Regions from separate parts of the Mus musculus genome. Here regions 2, 3, 4, 5, 6 and 7 are each reported to be linked to region 1. The links are microRNA targets in miRTarBase. Many come from high-throughput screens and were not tested one by one. Region 1 holds a microRNA gene; each other region holds the end of a gene's coding sequence. Distances are between the middles of the regions.
What was found. The annotated mature microRNA mmu-miR-324-3p reads CCACUGCCCCAGGUGCUGCU and lies in region 1 at 1,055-1,074, opposite strand. An mRNA with a match to its seed (bases 2 to 7 or 8) in the 3' UTR can be bound and repressed. Matches are read on the target gene's strand: a 7mer-m8 pairs with bases 2 to 8, a 7mer-A1 pairs with bases 2 to 7 and ends in A, and an 8mer does both.

Region 2: the mRNA of Il1r1 is a reported target of mmu-miR-324-3p. Seed matches in the 3' UTR shown: 8mer at 805-812, 7mer-A1 at 2,789-2,795 and 7mer-m8 at 2,928-2,934.
Region 3: miRTarBase lists Lipa as a target of mmu-miR-324-3p. Seed matches in the 3' UTR shown: 7mer-m8 at 1,818-1,824.
Region 4: the mRNA of Mdp1 is a reported target of mmu-miR-324-3p. Seed matches in the 3' UTR shown: 7mer-m8 at 679-685.
Region 5: the mRNA of Prkdc is a reported target of mmu-miR-324-3p. Seed matches in the 3' UTR shown: 8mer at 2,339-2,346.
Region 6: miRTarBase lists Vat1 as a target of mmu-miR-324-3p. Seed matches in the 3' UTR shown: 8mer at 1,711-1,718.
Region 7: miRTarBase lists Spred2 as a target of mmu-miR-324-3p. The part of its 3' UTR that is shown has no 7-base or 8-base seed match.

Annotation. Positions count from the first base shown.
Region 1 is chr11:70,010,089-70,013,168 of GRCm38, reverse strand. Mir324 (microRNA 324) reads right to left here and starts at 1,126; the gene lies at 1,038-1,126. Dvl2 (dishevelled segment polarity protein 2) reads right to left here. Exons shown (of 15, transcript NM_007888.4): 15 at 3,060-3,080. It overlaps Acadvl (acyl-Coenzyme A dehydrogenase, very long chain), which reads left to right. Exons shown (of 20, transcript NM_017366.3): 9 at 86-211; 10 at 523-721; 11 at 879-983; 12 at 1,399-1,485; 13 at 1,571-1,633; 14 at 1,723-1,824; 15 at 1,904-2,001; 16 at 2,091-2,163; 17 at 2,248-2,320; 18 at 2,399-2,471; 19 at 2,569-2,644; 20 at 2,733-2,986. The coding sequence ends at 2,873.
Region 2 is chr1:40,312,816-40,315,895 of GRCm38, forward strand. It overlaps Il1r1 (interleukin 1 receptor, type I), which reads left to right. Exons shown (of 11, transcript NM_001123382.1): 11 at 160-3,080. The coding sequence ends at 578. Among named protein-coding and RNA genes, the nearest start is that of Il1rl2, 10 kb to the right of the region's middle.
Region 3 is chr19:34,491,386-34,494,465 of GRCm38, forward strand. It overlaps Lipa (lysosomal acid lipase A), which reads right to left. Exons shown (of 10, transcript NM_021460.3): 10 at 931-2,828. The coding sequence ends at 2,595. Among named protein-coding and RNA genes, the nearest start is that of Ch25h, 18 kb to the left of the region's middle.
Region 4 is chr14:55,656,297-55,659,376 of GRCm38, reverse strand. Mdp1 (magnesium-dependent phosphatase 1) reads left to right here. Exons shown (of 6, transcript NM_023397.5): 4 at 1-7; 5 at 92-177; 6 at 303-1,488. The coding sequence ends at 394. Among named protein-coding and RNA genes, the nearest start is that of Mdp1, 2.6 kb to the left of the region's middle.
Region 5 is chr16:15,841,430-15,844,509 of GRCm38, reverse strand. It overlaps Prkdc (protein kinase, DNA activated, catalytic polypeptide), which reads right to left. Exons shown (of 86, transcript NM_011159.2): 86 at 2,271-2,739. The coding sequence ends at 2,535. Among named protein-coding and RNA genes, the nearest start is that of Mzt2, 20 kb to the left of the region's middle.
Region 6 is chr11:101,457,498-101,460,577 of GRCm38, forward strand. Vat1 (vesicle amine transport 1) reads right to left here. Exons shown (of 6, transcript NM_012037.2): 5 at 2,880-3,080; 6 at 1,251-2,779. The coding sequence ends at 2,696. It overlaps Ifi35 (interferon-induced protein 35), which reads left to right. Exons shown (of 7, transcript NM_027320.4): 4 at 1-25; 5 at 123-309; 6 at 394-500; 7 at 704-1,204. The coding sequence ends at 895. Among named protein-coding and RNA genes, the nearest start is that of Vat1, 7.2 kb to the right of the region's middle.
Region 7 is chr11:20,021,079-20,024,158 of GRCm38, forward strand. It overlaps Spred2 (sprouty-related EVH1 domain containing 2), which reads left to right. Exons shown (of 6, transcript NM_033523.4): 6 at 1-1,519. The coding sequence ends at 369. Among named protein-coding and RNA genes, the nearest start is that of Gm39603, 14 kb to the right of the region's middle.

The sequences.
Region 1 (3,080 bases):
ATCTTCCGTTTCTCTTCTACCCTTCAGCCCAGTGGCCTGACCCTGCTGCTCTAAACCCTATACTAACCACCTCACTCTTCCACAGTAATGGGGGCCTGGCTGACATTTTCACTGTCTTTGCCAAGACGCCAATTAAAGATGCAGCCACGGGGGCCGTGAAAGAGAAGATCACAGCTTTTGTAGTGGAAAGGAGCTTCGGAGGGGTTACCCAGTGAGTATGGGGCAAAACAGAATCAAGGATGGGGACAGCACTGGGCTCTCAAGAGCAAATAGTCAATACAGGCCACGCTGGGGCTATCTCTGTACAAGAGGCACCCACAGGAGGTGAGCAGTTTTGTTTCCACTGGGGGAACACAGGCTAACAGGCCATAGCTAGATATCCGTAGCCCCTGGGGCACATAGGCAGTGCCCTGTATCCTTTTTATAGTCTGGGGAGTTCTCCCCTGATCATGAGACCCGAAAAGGCCGTTTTCCCCCACAGCAACCTGTTCATACCTCAACTTTCCTGCCCTGCCTTTTCAGTGGGCTCCCTGAAAAGAAGATGGGCATCAAAGCATCTAACACGTCAGAGGTGTACTTTGATGGAGTGAAGGTGCCATCAGAGAATGTGCTAGGAGAGGTGGGAGATGGCTTCAAGGTTGCTGTCAACATCCTCAACAACGGAAGATTCGGGATGGCTGCAACCCTCGCAGGCACCATGAAATCCCTCATTGCCAAGGCGGTGAGTCCCAGCCCAGTCCCTAGCTAGCACATGTCCCTGACTGCCTCAGAGCGCCGACACACACACATGCACACTCGACCATCGGCACAGTTAGGCCTCCAGCCCGTCCAGGTGGAAACTGAAGAACCACAGTGGGGTAACATGCGCCCTCTTGCAGGTTGATCATGCTACTAATCGTACCCAGTTTGGGGACAAAATTCACAACTTTGGGGTGATCCAGGAAAAGCTGGCTCGGATGGCTATTCTGCAGTATGTGACTGAGGTAAGGGCCTCCTGGGCCCCTTCCCTGGAGCCCTATGGCTTTCTTCACAGTTGGGTCAGACTACAACCCCCAGCAGCACCTGGGGCAGTGGGTCTCCAGCTTTACACCAATGCCCTAGGGGATGCGAGGAGGCATAGTCAGTTCTCTTCTGGAGGGTGGTGCTGCTCTGCTAAATGCTGCCCAGATGCACCAAACACGACTTTTAACCCACCCCTTTACAAAGTCGGAAGCCTCGAAGCCCCTGATATACCAGAGGGTCACATATTGGACATATTTGACCTGACCAGGAGGCTAAAGTGAATTCAAGGGTTGGAGGAGTAGATCAGCACTGGTCTTGAAGGTCTGAGCATTAGCCATTCTGTCTGATGCAGCCCTTCCCTGTTGTCTTCCCCATGTCCCGACCATGCTCCCTTAGTCCATGGCTTACATGCTGAGTGCCAACATGGACCAGGGATTCAAAGACTTCCAGATAGAAGCCGCCATCAGCAAAATCTTTTGCTCGGTGAGGACCCAGGTGTGATGGGAGGGCGGAGTCCAGATTAGGACCTCAGCTCAAAAATCCAACTCATCTGGTTCTCTGTCCTCAGGAGGCGGCCTGGAAAGTGGCAGATGAGTGCATCCAAATAATGGGGGGCATGGGCTTCATGAAGGTACAGAGTATTCCTCGGCAGGGGGGGGCATCTGTTCAGAGTGGACAGGCACATCTCAACAGAGGTTTCTGTGTCTTCCTGCGTGCCAGGAACCAGGGGTGGAGCGTGTGCTCCGAGATATTCGAATCTTCCGGATCTTTGAAGGGGCAAATGACATTCTTCGACTGTTTGTGGCTCTGCAAGGCTGTATGGTAAGAGGAAGGAGGATGAGAGAGAGCAGCTGGGGAGGACACTGAGTCCTCACTGTCGCCGTCCCCCTTCTCTCCACAGGACAAAGGAAAGGAACTCACTGGGCTGGGCAATGCCCTGAAGAATCCTTTTGGAAACGTTGGCCTCCTGATGGGAGAAGCAGGCAAACAGCTGAGACGGTACCTCATGGGCCGGGGCCAGGGTCAGAGTCAGGGTCAAACAAGATGGGAGGCCGCAACTGACCAGTCACTCTTCCATCTCCTCTCAGGAGGACAGGAATCGGCAGTGGTTTGAGTCTGTCAGGGATTGTCCACCCAGAGTTAAGTCGCAGTGGTGAACTGGTGAGTGAGCCTTAAAGCAGAGCCTGCGGTGGCTGTGCGCTGCCTTCCTCTCCTGAGCTCTGTCTGTGACTCTTGTCTCTTCAGGCAGTGCAGGCTCTGGATCAATTTGCCACCGTGGTGGAGGCCAAGCTGGTGAAACACAAGAAAGGGATTGTCAGTGAGTGAGCTCTGCAACCCCCTTCCCTCCCTGATTCCCTCCCTCCGACTAACAGCCCCACCCTCATCTACCTGACAGACGAGCAGTTCCTGCTGCAGCGACTGGCGGACGGCGCCATTGACCTCTATGCCATGGTGGTGGTTCTGTCCAGGTAAGGCGGCAGCGAGGGACGCTTGGCAGGCTAGAGCCACAGAGGAGCTGGGCCAACACCAGCACTCAGGATCATTTTAACCTCTGTTTCCTCACAGAGCCTCAAGGTCCCTGAGTGAGGGCTACCCGACGGCACAGCATGAGAAAATGCTCTGTGATAGCTGGTGCATTGAGGTGAGCCTTGGAGCTCCCCAGTACAGGTGGGCCTTGGAGCTCCCCAGTACAGGACGGCCTGACCGTCCCTCCCCTTCCCTCTCCCCAGGCTGCAACTCGGATCCGAGAAAACATGGCCAGTCTGCAGTCCAGCCCTCAGCATCAGGAGCTCTTCCGGAACTTCAGAAGCATCTCCAAGGCCATGGTGGAGAATGGTGGCCTGGTCACCGGTAACCCCCTGGGAATCTGAGACTCCCAATCAGGCCCTGGCAAGGTCATGTGCCTTCTCTGATGCCAAAACCCTTTATGGGGGTGATGGAGTACTTATTGCCTTAACAATAAATTTTCTACCAAGTCACTGTCTGCCGTGAATGTCACTGCTCCCTCCTCTCCACTGCCTGCCTCGCAAAGAAAGGAGCCAGAGGCTTGGGGAGTTGGCCTCTATTTGCTTTATTTG
Region 2 (3,080 bases), not on the chromosome of region 1:
GTCTGTAAATTTTAATTGTCTTTGAATCTCAAGTAAGGCAAGGAAGAAGCAACAGGGGACATAAAAAGGAGTCTGGGAAGAGCATCTTTGAGTGTTGAATTCAGGAAAGAATGTATTGATGGCCTCTTGCCTGACTGCACTGCACTCTGTGTCTTACAGATACCATCGAGGTTACTAATGAAAATGTAAAGAAAAGCAGGAGGCTGATTATCATTCTAGTGAGAGATATGGGAGGCTTCAGCTGGCTGGGCCAGTCATCTGAAGAGCAAATAGCCATATACAATGCTCTCATCCAGGAAGGAATTAAAATCGTCCTGCTTGAGTTGGAGAAAATCCAAGACTATGAGAAAATGCCAGATTCTATTCAGTTCATTAAGCAGAAACACGGAGTCATTTGCTGGTCAGGAGACTTTCAAGAAAGACCACAGTCTGCAAAGACCAGGTTCTGGAAAAACTTAAGATACCAGATGCCAGCCCAACGGAGATCACCATTGTCTAAACACCGCTTACTAACCCTGGATCCTGTGCGGGACACTAAGGAGAAACTGCCGGCAGCAACACACTTACCACTCGGCTAGCATGGCAAAAGTGGGCAGGCCAAGAACTTCGGAATATCTCCCATCATAAGAGGCTGCAGCTGGGCTGTGCCTCCCAGTAAAACAGTCACGAACCAAACCTGTGCAGTCCCTTGTTCCAGATCACCTGGAACTGGATTGGGAAGAGAACAGGACTTGGTGGCCAGGACCGCTCAGAGAGCCATGGTTGCTCAGGGATGCTGCTCCGGGATGCTTGACTAACAGTCGAGGCAGTGAACTGGGTGTAGAAAGCGTCAGGAAATGGCCACATGTGTGGATGGTTTAATTAGATTCTGTGGAGTCTCACAGTGGGATTGTGGTTGTCTGAGGACACTTTGGGGGGTCGCTGTCCAAGAAGTGGCTCCCCAAAGTATAAGTGCGGGTGAGGTTTACTGATACCCCACAGTGGAAGGCATTTCTTCCAGATATTTTCCAGATACCTTGGCCGCCAAACTTCGTTTTCAAACACTGTGTTTTATTGTGTAGACCTTGAAAACCACGGTTTCAGTGAAGAAGGATTCTGTAGGGTTCACTCTTCTGCAGTCACTTTAGCTTTCTGCAGAAGTCTAGATTTTAAATTAACTGTAGAAGGAAGTCAGACACCCACAGGTTTCTTCTAATCAAGCTTCCACCCTGCAATGGCTGTCGTGCCATCTTCCTTCTGTGTTTTACTCGGCTCATTGCTTCTCTGGAGACAAATGCAATGCTTCCTACCCCCGTCCTGTCACAGGCAGTCTGAGGACTCACCTTCACACGTGAGACTTCGCTCTTACCCCAGCCCCCACCGCTGGAGGGGTTTCAATCCCCCACCCTGGGGCTCTTCTGCGCAGAAGCTGAAGTCTACGCTCCTCCCAATCTTTGGTCCCAGTGCCGCTGTTCGCCTTCCTGCTGGTTGATTGCAGAACCACCTCTGAGACCTCTGTACCTGCTCTTGGAATGTCTCTGTCTTTGCCCTGCCGCCCACTTCCCGTGCCTATGATTTGCTCTAGCATTTCTGCCACCTGACAAGGAGAGGAGCTTGCTAAAGTTTAAAGTTTATTTCAACGCTAAGATCCCAACCTTCCGATCTCTGCCTACTCTCAGACTTGGCCAGCCCTCTTGCCTGTCATCCCAACCCTGCTGCTTCTCTGTAAAAGGTTGTTTCTTTACTAGCAGAAATCAGTCTGCAGGGAGGGGTAGTGCGTGTATCTCACTGTTTTCCGTATTGGGAACAGATGGTATAGATTTGCCAAGGCCTTTATTTTAAAGTGTTCTTGGAAAATCGTATTTAAATTTGCAATTATTCTAATTTGATATAGAGAGAAACTGACCTATTTAACAAATGGACTCTCTTAATTCTACTGGACCCAGGCCTTGAACTTTCTGGTTTCTGTCTCTGTGCTCTGACTTTTTGATTTCAGGTCTAGCCCTGTGCACTTACCTCAGTACTCAGTACTTACTCAGTACTAACTCAGTACTCGTGGGAGGACACCCGACCCGGGTGTTCTTTGAGAAGCAGCTGAGTGAGGCATGTTTTGACAGGAGGAACCCAGTTCTTTTCACTGTTGGTATTTATAGCACCTACCTTCAGATTTTTCAGTATGATGTTTCTATTTTCCAATACTGGTTCCCTAACGGTCAACATTTCTTCTCCCAACTAAAAATGTAAGAAGAAAAAAAAATTTTTTTCTTTTTCTCTTTTTTTTTTTTTTTGTGGTACAGAAGTTTTTTGTTTGGTTATTTGTTTGTTTGATTTTAACTAGATGACTGTCTTCAGAATAATCCTCACAGTTCTGGAAGATTGAAAAACCAAGTTCACATGACAAGAACAAACCCGGTTTTAAGGGTTGAATGTAGGGGGATACCATTCTGTCTTTTAGACTTTCAACATCTGCTATGGTGGAGCACAAATGTTATTTAAAAGCATCTTCTCACCTACATAGAAGTAAACAAAACACACAATTTGGGATTTTGACTCTTCAGTTTTGACCTCACTTCTCCTGGATCCAACCTGACAGGAGATGACTGGATTGCTGGGGTAGAGAAGGAAAGGCTGTCCCCGACAGCAGCCAGAAGTCTGTGGGAGTGAGGTCATTCCTGACCCGTGATGCTTTCAAGGCTTGGTTTTTCTGATAATTATTTTTGCCTGTCATCCCAAAAACGTATTGACATGCGTGTATATTACCTGTGAGTGAGAGTTCTTAGAAACTTGGCCAGAGAGGATAAAGGGGAGAGCAGTGACAGAGAACCGCCGATCTTGTGACACCGGAGTCTGAGGTGGAACAGAGCCAGTGTCAGGAAAGCCCCTCAGCAAGAAAGAAGAGTCATTGCTGGTTCCCAGGGGCAGTCACAGAGGATGAAATACCACATCAAGGCAGTGGGAACTTCCTGCGACTTCTCCTGGTCCTCCCCAGAAGTATCTGGTGTCAGCTGAAGACCATGTGTCCCCCAATACTTAGATTTCACCGTACTTTCTGATGGTGTTTTTAAAAGGCCAAGTGTTGCAAAAGTTTGCACGTGCAACCG
Region 3 (3,080 bases), not on the chromosome of region 1:
TCTGGAGCCTAGAGGACAATGAGTGTGTGCTACAAAGGGCATGGCTGGAGAAGTGACCCAAGCCCTTGGGGGAGCCCAGAATATCGTGAGTTGGATCCCAGACATTGGACGGTTGGAGATTGATTTTTGCTTTTGATTGTGACTGTGCCCTGATATTTTTCCCTCTTAAAGGAAGAAACTATTTAGTGGAGCCCACAGTTAAGAGACTTTTAATTGTAAAAGATTTTGGATTTTAAAAGAAATGGATATTTTAAAGAGATTGAAATTTTAAGAATATGTAAAGACTGTGGGACATTTAAAGTTATATAGATCTTGGAGATGAATAAGAATGTAAGGGTTGAGGCTTACTAGTGATGTGTTTGTGTGTCAAGTTGACAAGGGGTCAATTGTACTGGCTAGTTTTGTGGAAACTTGACAAAGCTGGAGTTATCACAGAGAAAGGAGCTTCAATTGAGGAAATGCCTCCATGAGATCCAAATGTAAGGCATTTCCTCAATTAGTGATCAAGGGGGAAAGGCCCCTTGTGGGTGGGACCATCTCTGGGCTGACAGTCTTGTCTTCTATAAGAGAGCAGGCTGAGCAAGCCAGGGGAAGCAAGCCAGTAAACAACATCCCTCTATAGCCTCTGCATCAGCTCCTGCTTCTTGACCTGCTTGAGTTCCAGTCCTGACTTCCTTGGTGATGAAGAGCAGTATGGAAGTGTAAGTCGAATAAACCCTTTTCACCCCAACTTGCTTCTTGGTCATGATGTTTGTGCAGGAATAGAAACCCTGACTAAGACAGCCCAGCCTCCCCTTCCTTTCTCTCCAATTGTTCATGGACTGTGTGATCGAAGTTTTGGGACTTGGGGAGAGTAGAGAAAGAAAATCTTTTATCCTGCTAAAAGAAAATGTATAGATTAGCCACTGTAAAGCAAACACCACACCGATGTTCAGGCCTATGAGGCTGAGATTTATTGAAAAGTTTAAATACAAACCTTTAAATTGTTACAAAGTTGTATCATTCTGCCTGTCTGTATGAGCCAATATCAAGTAATATTCCTGCATCCGTGGTACCTAATATCAGAATATCAGAAAACTTATCAACTGTCTAGTGGTGACAGCCATCGCCAGCAAGCCAAGTGAACAGATGTGGGCTTCCTGTACGCAGGAGCAAAGCAGGCTCAGTAAAACATTGTGCATACAACACTGATTCTCAAAGCGAAATTCCTGAGCCGAGCTCTGTCTGAAAACATCATTTGTGTGAAAGGGAATCGGACCACTTGCCACCACAACCAGCTTTAGCTTCATGCAGGCACCGTCACGGCAGCCATATTCGCTTCTGGCAAATCAGTGGTTTGTCCCTCCACAGAATGTTTCTCCACAGAAAAGTGACCAGACTACACATTCGGAACCAACAGAGCTCATTGTATTAATCTTCAAGTTTTTTTTTTTTAATTTTTTTAATCAGTGCAAACTGCTTTTCAAGAGTCTACGCTTATTTGGGGGGGGGGGGGGGGCTTGGCCTGAAAAATTTTGTTATTGAGGTCTGATGAAACTGAAGAGAGGATATTTATTCCTGGAGAAGCTGGGATTACACTGGATTTCACTAGGAAGCTAATGCATTAAAACATGAAAATGTTGTTTGGATAGGTAAACACAGGAACTCTGGGCTAGACAGTCCTCTAAGGCAAAGGGATGAGAACTGAGTACTTTGGGTTTTTTTTTTCCTCCTTTGTCTTTGGTTTTCTAGAGACAAAGTCTCGCTTTCTAGATGAACCCTAAGTCCTACAGCAGCCTTCCTGTCTCAACCTCTGGAGAACTAGGATTGTAGGTTTGCACTGCCACATGAAGCTCAGAGCAAGGAGCTTTTCATCGTGTGTTCAGGTCACTGGCAGACTTATTTTTGCTAGCAAACAACAGCTTGAAATGTCCTGTGTGTGCTCACTTGTGTTGGGCAGGAATATAAAAGCAACTGAGTAGCTTGGTCTACTGCAGAAGGTTTGAGGCAATGATTCGGTGAGTGAAGGGCTTGCTACACAAGCATGAGAACCTGAGTTCCTGTCCCTAGAATCAGGGTAAAAATGCCGGCTGGGACAGACACCCCATTCCACCGCATTGGTGAGGGGGAAGGTAGAGACAGGCAGATCCTGGAGGCTCATGGGCCAACCAGTGTAACTGAAATAGCAGGCTCCCTGTTCAGCAAGAGACCCTGTTTCAAAAAGTAAGATGGGAAGTAACTGAGGAAGACACCTTGATGTGAGCCATTACCTCCACACAAGGGCCAGAACACAGCCCACACACACTTAGGCACATATATGCACAGCACATATGCACCGAAAACAACTGTAAAAGGTAAACAAAAGGATCACAGAGACACTTAAAAGGCATCACTGGTTGTGGACGCTTGCTAGTCAGTCACAATGAAGCATAAGACAGCTAGCGTGCTTCTTATTAACCAGAGAGCAATGTACACCTTCGACGTCATCATTTTCTTGCACATAAAAAATACAAATGACCTAGGCAAGGAAAACACAAGGATTTTACAGAAATTAAGCAAACACCTGTTTTTTTTTTTCCCCCCTCTATTGAAGGGGAAGTATTCAAGTCCAGCATTCACTGGTATTTCTTCATTAGACTGATTATTTCATCATACAGTTTCCAGGGGGCATCCAAACCCCAGATAAAATCCAGATGGTCCCACTCAGGAATGTTCTTGTGATACACCAACTTGGGGATTTGAGTCAGTAAGATAGTGATGTCATTGATGTCTGCCAGCCAGTCCCGGCCCCCGCTCCACAAAGCAGTGGGTAGACGCATGTTTTTTATGTTGTACGAGGGAGGAAAACTCTACAAGAGGAAAAAAAAAAAAAAAGAGTCATAGAAAGCTTTGCAATTATTCCTGTTAAATTTTTTTTTATTTTAATAAATGAAATCTCCATGGAAAAACAAATGTCTAGTAAGTTTGATTTGAAAGTAAAAATTTAATTTAAAAAACAAACAAACATGTTTTAAGAATTGCTTCCATTATGTTTTTCAGGTAGTCGTTACAAGGAGTAGAACTGTGCGGTTTTTTCCTCTTTGCTGCACTATAGGGACCAC
Region 4 (3,080 bases), not on the chromosome of region 1:
TTGAGAGGTAGGCAGACAGCTGGTGTGGGAGCAAGTGGACTACAAAAGAAGTCAGCTTGACAAGTGGTTACCCCTGCCTTGTTCTTCACAGGTTGCACCACAAGACCGGAGTTCCTTTCTCTCAGATGGTCTTCTTTGATGATGAGAATCGGAATATCATAGACGTTGGCAGACTTGGTACTGAGTCACTGCTGGGGGGTGAGGGGGGGGGAGTTCTTAAAAGAAGATAAAGTAAGTGTAGGGTGGGTAGTATACGGCAGAGCCTTGAAAGTGTGGTAAAATGTGACTGCTCTTTGTTCCAGGCGTTACCTGCATTCACATCCGGGATGGGATGAGTCTTCAAACGTTAACTCAAGGATTAGAGACATTTGCAAAGGCCCAAGCTGGACTCTGAGGTCCAATCCTGTGGATAAGCCTCATCTGCAGTGTAAAACTAAAATCAAGAAAGCCTTGTCAGGGGCTCTTGTATTAAAGTGTCCACGTGTGACAGTCAGGGTTCTGCCACCGTATGGGTTGTTTCCATTTTTCTTTTCTTTTTCACAAAGATTTATTTATGTATATGATACTGTCATTGTCTTCAGACACACCAGAAGAGGGTATCGTATCAGATCCCATTACAGATGGCTGTGAGTTACCATGTGGTTGCTGGGAATTGACCTCAGGACCTCTGGAAGAGCAGGCAGTGCTCTTAACCACTGAGCCATCTCTCCAGTCTGTTTCCATTTTTCTAACATGTAAACTGAAGTTGTGTCCTGATTAGAGTGCACCAGGTTGTTGTTTCCTTGTGTTGGAACCCACCCTGAGACCTCCTCCAACGGTTTCAAATAGTGGGGTGCCATAACGCTGTGCATTTCTTTGTAGGGACTAAAAGTTAATACTGTTTGGAAATAAGGTTGGGGCCGGCCGGCCTTTTCTGGTAGTAGGGAGTAGCTCAGGAATGAGCCAACCATAGCACGAGGCTTTGTCCCTCCAAGGTTTTAATTGCGCTATATCCTGATTGATGATGTCATGGCTATCTATATCCTGGAGGGATTGGCCAAGGCCCTTCTCAGAATGGTGATAGTCTAGAGGAAGGCAGGCAAGCCGAGGGATAGAGGCGGGAGAGAGAGAGCAATGAATGGACTCTGGACTCGGCAGACTCTTTAGGAGGTGTGACCCTGGGAGACATTGGGCCTCCTGGGAGGTGCTGGCCAGAAGGGAATGGGAACAACAAGAGCCAGGCAAGAAGAGGCCCAGGAGACAGGCTGGCCTGAAAACCTTGACCCAGCCTGGCACCCTGTTGCCAGAGGCCAACCTTATCCAACCGCCTTGTCCCAGTCAGCCTTGAGCTGGACTGAGTCAGGGGGTGTGAATGGATGGTGGTGAGACAATTGTTAACTCCTGTGGCATGCATGGGCTTGAGGGGACTGCTTTCCAGGTGGCTGTATCCAGTCGTTTCTAAAATGTTGTTGCTTACTTCATTTGAATAAAAGAGATCCAAAGTGAAAAGGAAAGACAATTTTCTTTAAGCTGTATCTGCTGATATGGGTGTGTCTAGAAAAACTCATTGGCAGTATAATGTGCAACTCAGCAATACAGATGATCCCAAAAAACCAAGGCAGCATAGATGTAGGCTCTGGATACCATGTTCAAAAAGGCTTACCGTTTTCCCGGTGTGACACTGAGGTAACCCTGGGAGGAGCCTTCACGACACATATACCCAATTACAGTAGTTTATGGAAAGCTGGCCGTTCTGAGTTTGGGGGATGTGGGGGATGTAAAAAGGAAAGGATGTAGGAGCGTAGATGGCGAGATGAGCAGGTCATGAAAGACCTTGTATATTCCAGAAGCATTTTTGGGTTATTATCCCGTCAGCAATGCAGAGAGGATGGGAGGGTTTAAAGCAGGCAGAAGGCACCAGACTTTTATTTGCAAAGGTTATTCACTATAGAAATGGGGGGAGAGACTGGTACATTGTCTTCCCTGTACCCCAGTCCCTTGAACTTCCTTTAGTTTGATCATGTAGAGCAGGATCTTTGACATCAAGACAGACAGCAAGTGGGACAGTGGTCATCAAATGTGACTTAAAATGAAACTAAGAAGGTGCCAAAGAACATGGGCTTTGGAGTCTGCTTGCTTCTTTTATTTTCCTCTTTTGAGTCAGGATTTTGCTATATATAGTCCTGGCTGACCTGGACTCATGTGAAGGTCAGACTGGCCTCAAACTTACAGCTATCCTCTTGTAGCAGCCTTTCAAGTGTTGGTATTTTTAGGTATGTGCCACCATACCCAGCACAACATTTTGATCACGACTTAATCTACTGAACATGACTCCAGACAAAAACATTTCAGTCTTTGTGCTCGTCTTCATATTTGTCCAGTGACACCAACACGTTCATTATAATTACTTAGAATGTACACCTAGCATACACTGTGTACTCAGTAACTGGTAGCTAATACTTTTCCTTCATACAATACGGGTGTGCTCCATTGGACTCTTGAAGAAAAGGAGGGTTTAATTCCTGAAGAAACAATACAGAAACTGGAGGAGACAGAAAAAATACTGATCAAGAAACTAGAACTGGAGTTACTGGTAGTTTTGAGTTATCAGATGTGGTGTTGGGAACTGCTGGGTCCTCTATAAGGTTTTTTCTCTTTTCTTTTTGGTTTTGTTTTGTTTTGTTTTGAGACAGGGTTTCTCTGTGTAGCCCTGGCTGTCCTGGAACTCACTCTGTAGACCAGGCTGGCCTCGAACTCAGAAATCCACCCGCCTCTGCCTCCCAAGTGCTGGGATCAAAGGCGTGAGCCACCATCGCCCGGCCTTTTTGGTTTTGTTTTGTATGTGTTCTTTTGTTTTGTTTTTGATACAGGGACTTGGTACCCCTGGTTGTTCTAGAACTTACTATGTAGACCAGGCTGGCCTTAAACTCAGAGATCTCCCAGCCTCTCTGTCTTCTGAGATTTTTTTTGTTTGTTTTCAATTTCTTTTATTTTTGTGTATGTCTCTGTGTGTTTATGCCACATGTGTGGGTGTCCACAGAAATCAGAGGAGGGTCTTGGGTGCCCCAGAGCTGGAGTTAACAGGCAATGTGAGCTGTCTC
Region 5 (3,080 bases), not on the chromosome of region 1:
TGGTCAGACACTATCTTAAAGTGAAAGGATGAGCAAAGGTATTCCATGCTAAGGAAACCAGGATTTGAAGCCAAATAGACTTAAAGCATAACTTATCAGAGATAAAGGTCTTTTCATACTGAATTGTTGGGAGCCGCCCCCACATTCGCCGTCACAAGATGGCGCTGACATCCTGTGTTCTAAGTGGTAAACAAATAATCTGCGCATGTGCCAAGAGTAATTTTCCACTACATGTACTCTGCCTTTACTCGGCCATGGGCTGCAGCCAATCAGGGAGTGATGCGTCCTAGGCGAAGGATAATTCTCCTTAAAAGGGGACGGGGTTTCCGCCATTCTCTCTCTTGCTTGCGCTTTTGCGCTCTGCGCTCTGGCGCTCTGGCGCGCTGGCGCTCTGGCTCCTAAAGATGTAAGCGGGGGGCCTTTCGTTTTTGGGGCTTGGGGCTTGCGCTCCTGGCTCCTAAAGATGTAAGCAATAAAGTTTTGCCGCAGAAGATTCTGGTTTGTTGTGTTCTTCCTGGCCGGTCGTGAGAACGCGTTTAAGACTGAATCAAGAACATATATGCACAAAACTTAGTGTACTCAATTTCGTAAAACAAATGCTATTTTAGACATAAAGATTAACCCTAACACAGAAATAGGTGACTCAAATACCACACTTACACTAAGGAACAGGTTGTTCTAACAGCAATAAAAACAACAAAATATGCAGCTCTGGAAACTTAGCAGAGCACACAGACACACACATAAATTTGAAATGCCAACAGAGTAGGATGCTTCTGCCAGACCTGATGATCTGAGTTTGATCCGTGGGATTGACATACTTCCAATGTGGGTTAAAAATGGGGTCCCGTGTCGAGCCGTGTGGAGCCCAGGGCTCGGGCCACTGCATGAAGCAGGACACGGGAAGTCTGACTGCTTGGACCCCACACAGCCGCCGCTGGGCTGGGTGTCGGGCTGTGAGAAGCCGCAGGACCCCGCTCCTGAGACCTGGAAGCTAAGTCTGGGGTCCCCGAAGAACTGCCAGAATTGGCTCGGGGTCCCTGGGCCTGCATGGAGGCTGAGGATGGCAGGTTCTAGCTCTTGGACACCGCTGATGCCATCACAGAAGAGCTGAGAACAGAGTGGGGGTCCTTGGGCAGGCTCTGGCCTGGGGCCAAAGGTTAAAGGGCAGGAGGTGAGAACTCTGGCTGGTGATGAGGAGAGTCCTTAGCTTGTTCAAGTGGCTTGCTCAGTGGGTGGCTTGGTGGTGGTGGAAGTAGCTGGGTACACAGGGAGGCCTCCTTTGGGAGGTTAGGCTCCGCTCCTTAGTGGAAGACCTGCTCCATTGCAGCATGGTGAATCTTGATGAGAAGAGACAGTCCATGGTTTTCAGGCATTTATTGTAGAAAGGCAGAGAGAGGGAGAGAGTAGAGAAGTAGAGGCCGGCTATGGCCACGTGGAGAGAGGGAGAAGGGAATGTGGACAGAGAGGGGGAACAAGGGAGCAAGGGGCTAGAGTAAGAGCAAGAGAGTAAGAGAGGGAGGAGGGGGCACACAGCCCCCCCGCCCCCCCCTTTTTTTTTGGTTTTTCGAGACATGGTTTCTCTGTGTAGCCCTGGCTGTCCTGGAACTCACTCTGTAGACAAGGCTGGCCTTGAACTCAGAAATCCGCCTGCCTCTGCCTCCAGTGCTGGGATTAAAGGTATATGCCACCACGCCCAGCTTTTTTTTTTTTTTTTTTTTTTTGCACAGCCCCTTTTATAGTGGGCTGGCCTACCTGGATGTTGCCAGGTAACTGTAGGGAGGAACATACCTGGCTATTGCCAGGTAACTGTGGGGGTGGAATGCAGACAGCCTGTGTGACTGATGGCCACAGAATTATGGAGCTGGGGCCTCCTGTCAGGAGCCTAGTGTCTGGGAGCATGTGGCAAACTTCCTTCCGTCCCTTGAAGACTAATCTGCTGGGTCTCTGGGGTTTAAACCTAGCTCGACCAGAAAACAGGCTGCCTTTCAAGGTCCCACAGACATAGATAGACACACACATGCACACACAAATCTGAGATGCAAACAGGGTAGAATGCTTCTGCCTGATGATCTGAATTTGATCATGGGATCAAATCATCATGGGATGTACATACTTCCACACATGTACCATGATGCACAAACACCCACCTCACCCAACAACAGAACACAGGGAGAAATGATCAAGAGCAGAGCAGAAATTAAAGAAATAAAATTGAAAGAAATGCAAAGAAATCAGTGAAATTAAGAGCTGATTCTTTGAAACAAGGAAGAAATATTTGTCATATTCTTTATTTTTTACATGTGTGGAGGTCAAAGGACAACTTCCTGGAGTTGGTTCACTGCCTCCAATATGGGTTTCTGGGATTGAAGTTAGTTAGGCCATTAGCATTGGTAACAAATGCCTTTATCTGACCATCTCGCCAGCACCATAAAGTAGATTTCCTCTGTCTGTCAGAAATATACTGCTGTCAGCGAAGGTCTAGGAGGTCCTCTCGGAGACAGAATGCTTTATGATTGGTGACACCACAGACTTTACATCCAGGGCTCCCATCCTTCCCAAGTCCTGCCAAGGATATTGGGGTCTGTGGCCTGGTCCACCAAGCACTTCACTTGAGTCTCTTCTGAAAGCCCACTCTCTGGCTCTTGTGCACGAATGTTGTAGTCTCTGTTGCCTCGAGCTACAGCTGTATAACTCCTAAAGGCGGATGAAGCTTCATGGCCTAGATATAGCTCATCACTGGAAAAAAGTATTGAATGAATATGAAAAGACAGACACAAATAACTTTTCCTTTTTGACCTGTATTTCTGGCTATCCTTTATAAATATTATCATTTATCATTTTCCCCCTCATGTCACTCATGACTGTGAATTCAAAGTTTGGGTTGGTAGAAAAATAAAGCATGAATAATAACATTATTATTAACATTTGCTTGGAAATTTTTGTTCAAACATAAGCTTTCATTTTTCTAGGGTAGCCACTCAGGAGTGGGCATGCTGGCTACAATTGTAACTCTATTTAAATTTCCATGCCCACCATCCATGCAGCTCTCCACACCCCTGCTCACACTTCATCTCATC
Region 6 (3,080 bases), 31 Mb from region 1:
GCTGCCTGTGGTGACCAACATTCAGGTGACAGAGTGGCAGGGTCCTCCATGCAACAGGTGGGATTCAGCATTTGGGTCCTATGGATGAGTGGGTCAGCTGAGCCTGCCCTGTCTCCTGCTAGGTGTCCAGCCAGCCAGATAACCACAGGGTGCTCGTTAGTGGTTTTCCTGCTGGACTTAGGCTGAGTGAAGAGGAACTGTTGGACAAGCTGGAGATCTTCTTTGGCAAGGCCAAGAATGGAGGTGGGGATGTAGAGACCCGGGAGATGCTGCAAGGGACCGTCATGCTAGGGTTTGCTGATGAAGAAGGTAAGGGTCCTACAGAAGAGGTAGGGGGCCAGGGTGCACGAGACTCGAGAAGCCTTCAAGGCCACCCTTCCCTGTCTCTCACAGTGGCCCAGCACTTATGCCAGATTGGCCAGTTCAGAGTCCCACTGGACCGGCAGCAGGTCCTCCTGAGGGTCTCTCCCTATGTGAGTGGTGAGATCCAGAAAGCCGAGGTACGTGAAGGTGGGGCTGGGGAAGCGTCTCCTTGTCGGGGAGAGCTCAGGGCCCCCCAGCCTCTCCAGCCTACACAGGAGCCTGAGCTTCCAGACCCATCCCATGTTTTTTGTGGGATGGTCCTTGTTCCAGCCTCTGCTCGCCACTGCCCTGCATTCCCATGAACCCTTGCAATTCATTCATTTCCTGTCTCTTTTTCTAGATCAAATTCCAGCAAGCCCCTCATTCAGTGCTGGTGACAAATATTCCTGATGTCATGGATGCCCAGGAACTGCATGACATCCTTGAGATCCACTTCCAGAAGCCCACTCGTGGGGGCGGGGAGGTGGAGGCCCTGACAGTTGTGCCTTCAGGGCAGCAGGGCCTGGCTATCTTCACTTCCGAGTCAAGCTAGGCCTGCATGTCCACCTGCTGGGGACTAGGATCACTTACTGCCTAATGCTACCAAGAACGGTCAAAGTGCCAACCTGGTGTGATGGTCTTCTTTACTTCAAGATAGCTGAGAGAGAGGGCAGAACGCAGACCTTGACACTGGCTTTCCCATGGCTCGCTCGTGCACGCGCGCGCTCTCTCTCTCTCTTTCATTTGAGACTAGATTTCTCTGTATATTCCAGACGTTCCCTCTGTAGACCAGGCTGGCCTGTAACTCCAAGCTGCCTGTCTCTGCCTCCAACTGCTGAGATTAAAGGTGCGCATCACTACCACCCATTCTCCAGCAACTCTCAGATACAACATCTGGTCAGGACTCAGGGTTTGGCTTTTTATTGACACAGACACAAAGGCAGCTGTGGTAATGGGGTGGGGTGGGGATGGGACACAAAAGCAGAAATCACACTTCCCACATGGAGGCCTCAATTTGACAACAGAGAGGCCGGGTCCCTCCCTCCACACTCCCTCTGACAGTGGCTGGAGTTAAGAGCTTTCTCTAATCCAAGCTCAGAAGCAGCAGGTGACCCCCACCTAGCCTCAAAGGTCCCCACCTTGGCTCCAGTAGCCCTGACTCTTTTAACCAGCCTAGTTATTCCCTTGCCGGAGCTCCTCCTTCCCTAGCAGTGTAAACAAAGTTTGGGGCTGAACAGCAGAGCTGCCTCCAGGCTCTGGGAAGGCAGCAGCCTCCCTACATAGCAAAGGAAAGAAATGTGCTTGAATTCTCACTTTGGTCCCAGAATAAGACCCAGCGTTGTCTCCCAGAACTCTGGCTGATCCAGCTCACTGCCTTTCTTCTCCACTGACAGAGACAGGACAGGCCACAGACCACAGTAAAAGCAATTGGTCCCCAGAGGCTGGAGCTGTCCCCTACCCCCAGACCCCCGACCCCTGGCACATACACAGATTTTTGGCAGTGTTGGACTGGGGAGGAGTAGGCCTCAGCTCCACCAGGACGAGGAAGGCACTGGGGAGAAGGGTGGAAAAGGAGCCAGAGATAGGGGCTGCCCCTACACATACACACACATATACAAGCACAGGTTTTCAGATGCTAAGGCACTGAGACAAATCCAAAGGCCTCAGTGAAGGGTGGGGTACCCAGTACCCCTCCCAGAGCGTAAGCTAGGGAGTCGGTCTGATTCCTGTCCTTGCTGTAGGAGGCAGCAAACTCAAGCCGGAAGAAGTCTAATTGTGCTTACGACATTGGGGACAGGAGACAAGGTTGAATACTGATCAAGTCCAGGGGTGGGCCTCGTCGGCCTGGGCTGCGGGGATACTACGGGGGACACAGGTACATGCTGGACTCACACAGATCGGCCCCACGTCCTGAGCTGACGCATAGATTCTTTGGGTGGGGGTGGGGCAGGAGGGAGGATGAGGCTGAGGTGGAAGCACACAGGATAGGGCAGGGAGGGATTGGCTAACCTTGGCACAAAAGCAGCATGGTAGGCCCAGGGAGAGGGGGGAGGGCAGGAAGCAGCCAGCCTCCTGCTGACCCCCCCTGTCCCCTTGGCAGGGCCCAGACATCCAAGTGGTCACTTCCCAACCTCTCCTGAGGGCAGGAAGGGGTGGGGGGGAGGGAGAGCCCTGAGCGAAGGGCAAGAGCGAGCTCAGAGCAGGGAAGCAGTCATCAGCAGAGACCTTCTCTGGGGGAGGGAGGGAGGGTAGAGCATCGTGACAGGATGAAATGTGAGAGGCTGGTGGGCAACACGACAGGACTTCCCATCTTCTCCCTCCCCGGCTCTCCAGGGCCCTCAGCCCTCTGGCCCTAGGTCTCCTTCTCAGGCCCAGGAACCAGGAGGACTTTGCCTATGTTCTTCTTCTCCTGCATCTGTTTCATTGCATCTGCCACCTGGAGAGAAAGAGAAGACCGTCCCTGATGCTGTCCGCCCCACTTACAGAGCCCGGCTAAAGACGACAGGAACCATCTGCCCCTGGGTCCTCAAGCTCACCTTCTCGAAGGGCCAGACTGAGTCAATTCGAGGTTTGATGTGGCCCTGATTGTACAGAGCCACGAGGCGGGTGACCACGCTATTGACGAGTTCCACCTCTCCATCCAGGTAGCCCAGGTGGAAGCCACACACAGCTCGGTTGGCCTGCAGCAGCTGCAGAGCTGTCACACTGAACTGATTCCACCAGGTGCGGGCCATGGC
Region 7 (3,080 bases), 50 Mb from region 1:
TCCCGTCGGCGGAAGGAGAACGGCGAACGGTCGCGGTGTGTGTACTGCAGGGATATGTTTAATCACGAAGAGAACCGAAGGGGCCACTGCCAAGACGCGCCCGACGCCGTGAGAACTTGCATTCGCCGGGTGAGCTGTATGTGGTGCGCGGACAGCATGCTGTACCACTGTATGTCCGACCCCGAGGGAGACTACACTGACCCTTGTTCGTGTGACACAAGCGATGAGAAGTTTTGCCTCCGGTGGATGGCTCTAATTGCCTTGTCTTTCCTGGCCCCTTGTATGTGCTGTTACCTGCCCCTCCGGGCCTGCCACCGCTGTGGAGTGATGTGCAGGTGCTGTGGTGGGAAGCACAAAGCCGCCGCGTGACTCGGTTCCCCTACTTTCTGCTTCTCCATCCACGGCCACGGGCAACTTGTCTCTTGCGCACTCCCCCATCCTCTCCCTGGTTCCCTTCCAACTCCAAAAGGCTAGGCCAATAAGAGGAGGCCAGGCTCTGTGGTCCCTTGGTGACATCATTCCAAACCTGGGGTAGCTGCCGCCCCCTGTGTCAGCCACATACCCCCTCTCGCAGTGTTCTGAGGAAAGGAGCCTTCGGCATAGACTCGTGTATTTTACCAGCCTATAATCGTGCTGAGTGTTGGTTTCCTGCCCCTCCTTCCCACCTTTCTGGTTCTGCAGACTTGGAGGGGTTTATTGACTCTCCCCCCCCCTCCCCCGCTCTGTGACTTTTTTTTTTTTCTTCTCCCCATTGGGTTTGCCTGTCGCTAACTAGCATAGGTCCCACAGAGATGTGACAGAATGATGAAGCCGGCACCACAGCATGTTGTTATGTGAGGAGGCAATCTGGATAGCAAGCATGTACCACAAAACAGTAGTACTTTAACCCCTAATGCCACGTCTCCCCATCAGCTGCCGGTTTTGTCTTTAACCTGCTATCATCTCTTCTCCTGCCCCTCCCTCCCCATGAATTAATTCACTAATGCAAAACAATCACTTTTTAAATGACTTTTTGAGCCTTAAATCCATATTCACTTGTGAGAATCAGGAAAGAATTCCTCGAGTTGCTTTGCATCCTCTTGGACCAGGGCTTGCAAGGCGATTTGGGTTTCTGTGAGCTTGCCCAGTTGACCCGAAAAATAGGACTTTTTAGAATTGCATTGCCACTTCTAAAATCCTAGCAATACTTAGAATAACACATCAGTGAGATAAATTTTACTCAATTATTTTACAAACCAAATTGAGTTATTCAAACACAAGCCAGTATTCTGTGAACAAGTTCCAGATGAAAAACACAGAAGTTGTGAATGAAGTTGTAGCCATTCCCTGCCCTGCACTATATTTTTCAGGGTGCATTTTAAATACTATTGATTCAAACAGTGGTGGCTTGCGTTTTTTTAGGTATATATTTTTGGTTAGTTTTTTGGGGGGGGTTGTTTTGTTTTTTTAATTTGAGGCTCAATTCTTCATTTATACTTGAAAAAAACAAGGCCATATGTAAAGAAAAAAAAAAACCCTCTTTCAATGCCTAAGTGTCTTCTTCTATCACTCCACACCCACAGTTGCCACTTGGGGTGCACAGATAAGGGTAGGTCACCAACTGATTATGCCTGTCTCTGAGCCATGCAAGAGGCTCCTAATGTGCTGGGGGGGGGAGCACATATGCATATATATATATGAGAATAGCCAACTTCTACAGAAAAAAGACAAGTGGAAGTGGTTTACCAATACCTAGCATGGTACAATCAGAGCTCCGTGGGGACTGTAGGGAGCAGGGTGTTACTACTGGCCGTTCTTCCCACAGTGATTAACGGTAGAGATCAAGCTCAGTCCCCTTTATCCCCCCCCCCCCCCAAGCTCAGTCCCCTTTAGTCCTTCTTCCCCTCCCCCCTCCCCCATTGCACACAGACATCCGTCTTTAAAGGAAAAGGCCTTTTTTCCAGTCAATCAGTCAGTCAGTCAGTCAGTCAGTCATACTGGGAGAAGCTAGCCTTGCATCCCTAGCACTGTCTCTTCCTGGCAGTGCTTTCTGCTCGCCCGACAGACAGCCTGTCGTGTCTCTTTGGACAGACGGACCATCAGTGTAGATAATCAGCATGCTTGTGCATTACGTGGAGGTTGGAGGTGTCATCTTTGTTGGGATGACTGATTGGGGCTATCTGTTGTCAACAAGCGTCGTCTCCACCATTGTGGATGGAGGGGGTCTCTGTGCTAGGAGACTCTATAGACTGCCTCCAGCCGCCCTCCAGTGCTGTGGAGAGACTGTCCCCAGCCTGAGGGACTCTCCTCGGGCCCTCGCCTCTCTACCAAGCACAACACTAATCCTGTTTCCTTAAACCTCCGTTCAAGTGCCCCTATTTATTTCAGTGAGAATGCGTGTCCGGTTGCCTCTGTCCCTGTTTGTGCGTCCTTCCTCCCAGCCGGTTCCCACCCTCCTAAGGGTTATGCCAGTGGATCTCACGCCTCTGTGCATCACCTATCTTTGGTTTGTGAAGGCAGCAGTTAAGGGCACAAAGACAGCCATGGGGACATTTATGTAAATATGTTTAATTGCCACACTGCAGCTGAACGGTGTGTAGTATTTTCCCAGTCAGCTTTGCCATACTGACGTCAATCATTTGAGAGAAATTATTCAGATTTTATTTTTATATCCATGGTAACAGAACCTAACCAAAAGGTTTCCCGTTCAGAAGTTTCCTTAGCTCTCGTCCCAAGCTATTCGCTCACATTAACAAGTCAAAGTGCCTGAAGCATAACTCATTTACCTGTATACTAAAACCCCTGTTGTACTGATTTTTTTTTATAATAAGCCTTTTTACCTCTGTAAAAATATATATATATACAAGTGTATGATGTACATTTTAGTTCTTAACTTTTTTATGGTTTCTAATATGTATGACCAATGTAGCCATTGCTTTGAAATGTAAATATAAACACGTCCTATCCGACTATTGGCTTTGGGGTATTTGTCGGGCTGGAGTCCTCACACACAGAATGGGATGGGGTTTCCTTCAAAGAAAAACATGAGACGTGGGTCTTTTTTTGTGAGGCCCTTCCCACCTGTGGTTATATTCCGGGGG